2 linked regions of the Caenorhabditis elegans genome follow. The protein of the gene in region 1 purifies or fractionates together with the protein of each later gene. This does not show direct contact. Each region holds a gene or a part of one and is shown on either strand. Other genes may lie near its edges.

Region 1 (4,430 bases):
GCCAAATTAGAACTTCTGAACATAAATTTCGATGAGATTCGATTTTTTTCTGACAATGGAAATTTCTATGAAGTGAAGATGAACCCTCTGGAAGAAGTTGTGATGACGACGTGCAATTATCGGAAAATCAAATATATCGATTCGAGTGAAACAATTCCATTTCTCGATACTTGCTACCGGAAACGACGTATTTTGTGCCAAAAAAGAGCTGAGAATGCCGTTGATAAGACTATTTTGAATGAACCGAAGGAAAAAAGTGTATGGAAAGAGAAAATCATAGAAATTATTCAAACTACTCCGGAGACTAAGAAAATTGAGAAAAAAGTAGAGAAAAAGAAAGAAAGGAAAATTAAGGAAGAAGTGAAAGAGGTTCAAAAAGAAAAAAATCAGATAACCGATTTTGGCGAGTTTTAAACTCTTTTGGCAATTAATTGTTTTTAATTTCAGAAGAATTTAAGTGGACAATCATCACACTGACAAGCCTCGCAGCAGCTGCCTTCAGTGCCATAATTGTACTAAATATAGTCCGTTGCGGTTTATAAATAGTTTCGAAACAACGTTTTTTTTTCATTGTCAAAACATGAAAAATCAACAATTCGGATAAACAGAACGATAAAGGAAAAAAAATAACAGAAAATCAAGTGATATAACAATGAGATATTACATTTCCATAGCATCTCCTCCGAGCATGTTTCCAAGTGAATCCGACAGTTTATCAGCTCTGTTAGCAGTCTTTTTCGACTTTTTCTTCTGCTTCTTGATAGCTGTCTTGATGAGTTTATTGAGCTGAACGTTTCCTTCAAGAGCCAGACTTTCTGGAAGAACTGGCTTATCGTCATCCTTGGTTGGCCCTTTCACTTTTCTTCCGCTGGTTACTGTTTGCTTCTTTTCGTTAACGTCTGTTTCCATTTCATCGTCGTCATCTTCTTCTTCGTCGGAATTGTGTGGTGCAATAATGTCACTTTCCATTGGAAGGCCTTCAACGATCTGGTTTTGCTCCTCAGCAATCGCGTCAATATCAAATTCTTTGCTGAATTGTGAGACAACTTCAGCAGGAACAACAATATCTTCCTTTGCAGTTCCCTGCTCTGGTGGATGAGTGTAATATCTGAGCTTTCCTGTATTCCAGTCGTTCAATACACGTTTGGCAGCAGCATTCACATCTGGACGAGCTCCACGACGAAGTTTTCCGATACGACGTGCAAGTTGAGCCAAGAATTGGTCAACTGAGTTAAAGTCGGCAAGATTGTAATGAAGCATAATCTGAAAAGAGACCAGTTTGAATAATTCAAAAAATTTAATCAAGGCTTTTGACGATTATTATTGTTTTAAACTTACAGTTTCCTTGCTGCAACGACGAAGGATTGCGTGAACTGGAGCAATTGGATCAAGCAAATTGTCGACGCGAATAGCATTTTTAAGAGCAACCTCAATTGGATCCAAATCCTTTTGACTGACGAGAATGACTCCCGGGGAATCAATAAGACGGATATTTTTGTCCAACTCAACTTCTTGAATTTCTCTGAAAATAAATTTGATAAGCTTAGAAAAACAACTGAATTTAACTTACTTGGTGATTCCTGGCAGATTTCCTACGTTGCATGCCTTTCTTCTCTTCAAACTGTTGATCACACTGCTTTTACCGACATTTGGGAAGCCAACAACTCCGACGCGAATGCTAGTTTTAATGTCTTTGTTTCTACAGTAATTAGCAAGAATTTTCATCACAATGTCGGCACCGACGCATTTCGAGGTCTCAGTGTTGTTCAAAATAGCGCTGTTGAAACGGCCAATATTCGACTTTTGCTCTTGTGTTGAAGCCTTGAAAGCAATTGTCGGGAATTGACCGCGAAGATACTCGAGCCACTTCTGAACGTTCTCACGGGGCACCAAATCGATTTTGTTAAGAAGAAGAACCAATCGCTTTCCACCTTTTAAGACCTGATCCTCTACAGACTTGCTACGACTGCCGAGCGGATCTCTGGCGTCAAGTACTTGGATAATAACATCAGCAATCTCGACAGTCTTCCTAACTTCACTGGCATAAGCCTTGATTGTTTTGTCATCCAAGGTGTTGAACTTCTCATGTTCTGCAGCACTGGCAACTTTCTTATCAAATTCGGTTCCTTGTTTCGATGCTTTTGCGACCATACTTTCAAAATTGGCTGGCAAATTATTTTTTCTCTTTTCGATGCGATGAATTTTTGCAGCTTCTTTAGCAGCTTCCTGACGAACTTTTATCTTCTCGCGCTCCTGCTCTGCTTGGACCAGAATTTCTTCTTTGAAAGGACATGAATTCGGAACACTGATAGTCTTTTCTTTTTTATTAGTGGTTCCTGTAATAAAAAATTTTCCCATTATTTCAATAGCCTTATTTGCATTCTTTAAAACTTTACTTACCATTCTTTTTAGCCTCCTTCTTCACTTTTCTGTTATGGTCGCGAACTTTCTTCTCAATTTTGTAGCGCTTGGCGCAGCTGACTCGCTTACTGGTTTTTTCTGTAAAAGAGGTATTTTATAATATTGTTACAAATGTATATCAACTTACTCAGACAGTATTTCGCCATTCTCTGCTGACTGTTGGTTTCTTAAAAAGACAAATTGATTTTTCGACAAGAAAGAGGAAGAGAAACAAGAAATCGTAATATATTTTATATAATTAAATGTTTATATTATTTATTTAAAACGTTTTTCGAAAGCAAAACATAACATGTGAAAGAAAATCGACAAGCAAGGCCAGAAAATAAAAAGAATGCGAGTATAAATTAAAGGGAGGCACGTTGGTGAACTCAAGTGGGTCTCGCCACGAAACCAGTATTTCCACAGATCTTTCTGGCTCCCGCTTGAAAACTGAACGTTAAATTTAAAAGCTATAGAATTTCTAGAAGAATTATTATTTGTTTCTATATTTTCATCAAAATTAATGTAATAAAAGTTCGAAAATAACATTAGAATTAAGTTTTAAAATATTATTCCCTCTATCCGTAAAGTTGTTTTATTCATTTCTTCTGAGAGTCTGACTTCAACATCATAATTTAATTTGCAGATGCCACCAGCAGTTCCAGCCGCAGCTGCAACAGCCCGACAATCGGCTTCCGGTCGCGAGCGCAATTTCAAGGATAAGGACAAGCCAGAGAGTGTTCGCAATAGGTGAGCTTTGTTCCTTTTTGTTTTTAAATCACTAGTTCATTTTCAGTAACATCGTTGCTGCAAAAGCTGTTGCTGATGCCGTCCGTACATCCTTGGGTCCAAGAGGAATGGACAAAATGATTCAGTCCGGGAATGGGGATGTTACCATCACCAATGACGGGGCTACCATCTTGAACCAAATGAGTGTCATTCATCCAACTGCTAAGATGCTCGTCGAACTTTCAAAAGCTCAAGATATCGAAGCTGGAGATGGAACAACTACTGTCGTTGTTATGGCTGGAGCTCTTCTTGATGCTGCTCAGAACCTGCTTTCTAAAGGTATTCATCCAACTACCATTTCTGAATCTTTCCAAAGTGCTGCTGCCGAAGCTGAAAAGATTCTTGACGAAATGAGTTCACCAGTCGATTTGTCAAATGACGCTCTGCTCAACAAGATGGCTACAACATCGTTGAACTCGAAGGTTGTTTCTCAACACTCATGGTTGCTCGCACCTATGGCAGTTAATGCTGTCAAGAAGATCATCAATTCAGAGAACGATTCCAATGTCAACCTGAAAATGATCAAGATCATCAAGAAAATGGGAGACACGGTTGAAGAATCCGAACTCATCGAAGGAGCTCTCATTGATCAGAAAACCATGGGACGTGGTGCTCCAACAAGAATTGAGAAAGCCAAGATTGGACTCATTCAATTCCAGATTAGCCCCCCAAAAACTGACGTGAGTTGATTGAAGAAATTAATTTTTTAAATTCGCATTCAAATTTCAGATGGAAAATCAAGTTATTATCACTGATTATGCTCAAATGGATCGTGCTTTGAAGGAAGAACGTCAATACTTGCTAGAAATTTGCAAGCAGATTAAAGCTGCTGGTTGTAATGTTCTTCTGATTCAAAAGAGTATTCTTAGAGATGCTGTCAACGAACTCGCCTTGCATTTCCTCGCCAAAATGAAGATCATGTGCATCAAAGATATTGAAAGAGAGGATATCGAGTTTTATTCAAGAATTCTCGGTTGCCGACCAGTTGCCTCTGTCGATCATTTTAATGCTGATGCACTCGGATATGCTGATCTTGTGGAAGAGATTCCAACTGGAGGAGATGGAAAGGTCATCAAGGTGACTGGTGTTCAAAATCCAGGACATGCTGTCTCTATTCTTCTTCGTGGATCAAACAAGTTGGTGCTTGAGGAGGCTGACAGATCTATCCACGATGCTCTTTGTGTGATTCGATGCCTGGTTAAGAAGAAGGCTTTGTTGCCAGGAGGTGGAGCTCCAGAGAT
Region 2 (4,766 bases), on another chromosome or scaffold:
GTAATATTTCATTTTTTCAGAAACAAGAACATGTTCTCCACGACTGTAGAATCCGAAGCTGGAGAAATTCTTTTAAGAGTTGCCAAGGTTTACGGGTTTCGAAATGTGCAGAATCTGGTTCGAAAAATGAAGACGAAAAAGGAGAAGACAGATTACGTGGAAATTATGGCTTGTCCGGGTGGATGTGCAAATGGTGGAGGTCAGATTCGGTACGAGACAATGGATGAGAGAGAAGAGAAATTGATTAAAGTCGAGGCATTATATGAAGATTTACCCAGACAAGATGATGAAGAAACCTGGATAAAAGTTCGAGAGGAATGGGAGAAACTTGATAAAAACTACCGTAATCTTCTGTTTACGGACTATAGGCCCGTTGAGACGAATGTTGCTCAAGTCTTGAAATGGTGAATTTTCTTGTTATATTTTGTGATACATTCCCAGTCCCTAATTTTTTAGATTCTATAGAATAAAATGTTTTTTTTTGTTTTTCAACGAAAACGCGACATTTTTAAAGCATTTTTTGGTTAACAGAAAAGTTACGAAAAAAAATGAACAGTAACAATGTTGAATAGATGAGAAAAACAGCAACAAAAACAAACAGGGAGCAATAACAGGGAGACATCTTAAATATTAATAGTCTTGAAGACATTAAATCCATCAATTGAAGTGTTGATAGCCAATCCAGGAATCTGTTGATGCCAGTGAACTTCTTTGACCTCATTCTGACCCATATGGACGAACATCAGCTGTGGTGGAACTCCTTCGATATTCGTTTGTCCATCTGCTTCAGTTGCAATATCCCAAATTGTTGTCTGATCGTCTTCACCGGAAGCCATAAATGTCGTTGTTTCATGTGGATGCCAGTCGACTGAAGTGATTGGTGAATTGTGATACTTGAAGAGTGCCACTGGTTGACCGAATTGGATTGTTTTCAAAGACCAAATTTTCAGCTCTCCGTCATCACCACCAGAAACAATGAGGTTTTCGTGACGATTCCACGAAATAACATTAACATCGGATTCATGAGCTTTTTGCACTGTACAGACGCAGGCATCTTTTGGAGCAGAACGTGTATCCCATAGTTTGATACTTCCATCCGCGGAACATGAAGCAAGAAGTCCAGTTTCAGTTGGTGACCATGCAAGATCTTCGACACTCTCTGAAAAATATTGGAATATGTACTGAAAAATGCTCAAAAATTTTTATGCGACAAAGACAAGTTTTTAATTCAGATTTTTGTTTTTTTCCAATCTATTCAAGAAAAAACCACTCAAACGCCATTCAGGAGACACATTTCAATTTTTGGAATTTTCAGATCAAAATTAAATAAATTACTTTTATGTCCAGTTAATGGATTAGCTCCAACAGCCCATTGTCCTCCTTCCTTCATTTGCCACAAATAAATCTTTTTGATGATATCACCAGTAGCCAAGTCTCCAGTTTTTAATGAAGACCAAGCAAGTCCATATCCTTCTTTTCCAGATCCATTATTCGTGAACAAGGGTCGATCGATCTTTTGCACTTCAGTCTTCGACTCTCCGCTCATTCCATGAGTATAATTCAATGCATCAGTGATATTCCACACCTGGACACGTCCTTGATCACTCCAGCAAGCACATACAGTACTGTCACCAAGACGATCGGAACGAATTCGGTTAATACCACCATAGTGAGGAATCGAAACAGCGTGCATTTTTGGTTCTCTTTTCTTCTCTTCTTCGGCATCTTCATCTTCGGATTCGTCTTCAGAGGTGTCACTGTCGTCGCCTTTGTTTTCTTTTTCTTTCTGAAATACTCACTTTTATTGTAGAGATATCCTTGTTTTTTTTAGTTTAACAATTGTGTTACTGAGCTTAAAACTAAACGTTGGCCGGAATTTCAATTTCATAACAGGTAAATAATAAAAAAGTTTGAAACCGACTAACCCTCATCGTTGTAAGATTCTTCAATCCCATCACAATGATTTCGTTATCCCTTGGCTTATCGGCTTGAGTTCCACTGACAATATAACATTCGGCAGGGAATTGTGTTCTGTTCTCGCCCAAACCATCTTTAACAACGTCAAACGACAAGCATGGCCAATCTAAATCATAAAATATAAATATTTTAGAAACAATTTCGTTTGAATCACCAGAATTGAAACTATGAAATAGTTTGTAAGCACTAGGGTCAAAATCCAATTCTTCTCCTTTTTTCAATGGCCGGCTGAGGCCTGGAATGTAAGCCTGCAATTTTAACAATTAGAAGTATTGTACGAAATTTCTAGCTCACTTGTCTCTGATTCTCCGGTACTTCCTCGTCTTCATCATCAGTTTCATCAACTTCCTCTTCAGACTCGTCTATATCCTCCACTGGATCCTCATCATGCATTTCAACGTCATTTTCACCGGACATTTTCTGCAGATACAGAATATATCTCTTAAGAAATGTTAGAAAAAGCGGATGAGGTAATATTTGGAACTTCAGAGGGTGTTTTCTTAAATTTTAAAACAATTATGAGCACAAAACTACTAGTAAAGCGTGAAAATTGGGAGGATAAAAAAAATAAATAGGAAAACAGAAAAAATTTTAGAGTACGCAAAAGTGCGTCGTCTCTGGCTTATTTCATGCGGTGTTTGCGTACTCTTAATATTTTTATCAATTTTTTAATGTTTTTCGAAACAAAAGCTATTTTCCTTTTATTTGTATTCATTTATGTGTTAAAGATAATAATATTAAATATTAATATTTTTTGATTTATCTGTCGCAAAGTTTCTGTACTTTCTGACTATATTTAGACTTATTTTCAGCCTGAAACGCTCACCCTTCAACAATGGCCAACTTGGATGATGAACTGGCTTTGTAAGTTGATTCTTCCTATATTTATTATCAAACAAATTATATTATTTTAGATTTGAAAGCGAGTTAGCCGAACTTGAACAAGCGAGTAGCAATTCGGAGGAGCCAGCAAGCTCTCAAACGCATGTTGGCTACGATAATGCAACAATTTCGGCAGGACCAACTACTTCCGAGTCATCAGCAGCTACTTCTAGTGCTCAAGTTATTCAACCATCACTTTTGGCAGCGCCTCCGTTTATTCCGATAGCTGCCACAATTGCAGTTTCTCCATTTATCAACCCGGCACTTGGGAGGCTTCCAACAATGCCTCCAGTTCCACCTTCAATTTTCATGCCTCCACAATTAAGAGCTGCACCGGTTAGTTTTGATTTTCCGTTGACTTAAAAAATATCCTTATTTTATGAATAAAGCCATAAATTTTTGAGAGAAAAGTTAAAAATTGAAGTTATGTGAATATTACTCTCAATTGAATATTAAATTTACAGATAATGTTCCCTCCTCGAGTACTCGGAATTCCGGCTCCTGCAACTATTGAAGGTGCTCCAGCATTATATGAAACACCTGCAGTAAACGCAATTCCACAAGAACTTCTGCGAACTCAAGCTCTTCAATCAGATATTGATAAGATGAATTTCAAAAAGCAAACCGATCCATTTAAGAAGAAAATCAAGGAACAACAAGCGAAAAAGAAGTTTGTGAGATCCGGTGGTGGTCAGGTTTGGGAAGATCCATCTCTTGCCGAATGGGATGAAAATGATTTTCGAGTTTTCTGTGGAGATCTGGGAAATGAAGTGTCGGATGAACTTCTTGCAAAGGCTTTTCGAAAATACCCAAGTTTCCAAAAAGCCAAAGTTGTCAGAGAATCACGAACAAATAAGAGTAAAGGATATGGATTCGTTTCATTCAGAGATTCGGAGGATTATGTGAGAGCTATGCGTGAAATGGACGGAAAATATGTTGGAAATCGACCGATTAAATTGAGAAAATCGGCATGGAAGGAGCGTAATATTGATGTTATCAAGCAAAAGAGAAAGCAAAAGAAAGAACTTGGAATTTTGTAAATCGATTCGTTTTTCTACATTTTTTTCTGTAATTTATTCATTTATACCCCAATACTTTCATTGTACCCCTTATTTTCCTGTCATCGTATTTTTATTCATTTTTCTTTTCAATATATAAAAGTCTGAATTGAGATATTTATCGTTATTTGAGTATCAGGAGCACTGTTGCATGTCCAGTGCAAAATATACCTCTACTGTCATTTTAGAACATTACATTTTTGAGTTTTTTCTTTTCAATTCATATTTAAGAAAGGCTGAAATCTTTTGAAAACTTCAAATTTTGAGGGAACAATACCGTATCCGGTCTCGACACGATACATTTTTGTTAAATTCGAAATGCTGTGCGCCTTTAAAGAGTACTGTAATTAAAAAATTTCGTTGTAGTTCAATTTCTAACGATTCTTTGAAGTTGTTTGATAAAAATATATCTACTAATCAAAAACTTCAGTAAAGCATAAATTTTAACAATAACTAACAAAAAATTCTTGTCGAGACGGAGTACTGTATATTTAGCGCACAAAACGAGAATTTTCGTGTCTGTGTTTCAAAAATGTTCTTCCTGAAATTTAAATGATTTTGGCTGGAAGTTAAGATAGGTAGACATTATATCTAGTATAGGATTTGTCAATTAGATACTTTCAACTAATTTTGTTACAAAAATGAAAAATACTTTCGACCCCTTCATTGGCTAGAACTTTCTATATAAGTATAGTTAGTAGGTGTCTTCATTTAATTCCTGTTTGTATAAATGTAGTACAAGTGGGTGGCTGTGTTGACGAGTATATCAATTGCGTAACGGATACCGACTACTTCACAAAGAGTGCCGATGTCGAAAGTTTGAGCAAGAGATTACGAAGGTGACGGGTC

The links.
Region 2: the proteins of nst-1 (region 1) and grwd-1 fractionate together in Caenorhabditis elegans (co-fractionation; one large-scale study listed by BioGRID). This does not show direct contact.

Annotation. Positions count from the first base shown.
Region 1 is NC_003280.10:8,280,622-8,285,051, forward strand, and holds nst-1 (Guanine nucleotide-binding protein-like 3 homolog), read right to left. Parts: upstream 2,588-4,430; 5' UTR 2,568-2,587; coding exon 2,549-2,567; intron 2,500-2,548; coding exon 2,401-2,499; intron 2,337-2,400; coding exon 1,571-2,336; intron 1,523-1,570; coding exon 1,339-1,522; intron 1,264-1,338; coding exon 661-1,263; 3' UTR 541-660; downstream 1-540. Other genes in the region: clec-142 (C-type lectin domain-containing protein), read left to right, coding at 1-414; cct-4 (T-complex protein 1 subunit delta), read left to right, coding at 3,047-3,150, 3,197-3,869, 3,919-4,430. UniProt on the Caenorhabditis elegans protein: May play a role in regulating cellular proliferation in both germline and somatic tissues.
Region 2 is NC_003281.10:5,151,174-5,155,939, reverse strand, and holds grwd-1 (Glutamate-rich WD repeat-containing protein 1), read right to left. Parts: upstream 2,477-4,766; 5' UTR 2,395-2,476; coding exon 2,272-2,394; intron 2,226-2,271; coding exon 2,132-2,225; intron 2,084-2,131; coding exon 1,926-2,083; intron 1,787-1,925; coding exon 1,336-1,786; intron 1,160-1,335; coding exon 624-1,159; 3' UTR 504-623; downstream 1-503. Other genes in the region: putative cytosolic Fe-S cluster assembly factor oxy-4, read left to right, coding at 21-408; rbm-42 (RNA-binding protein 42), read left to right, coding at 2,813-2,841, 2,892-3,195, 3,324-3,899.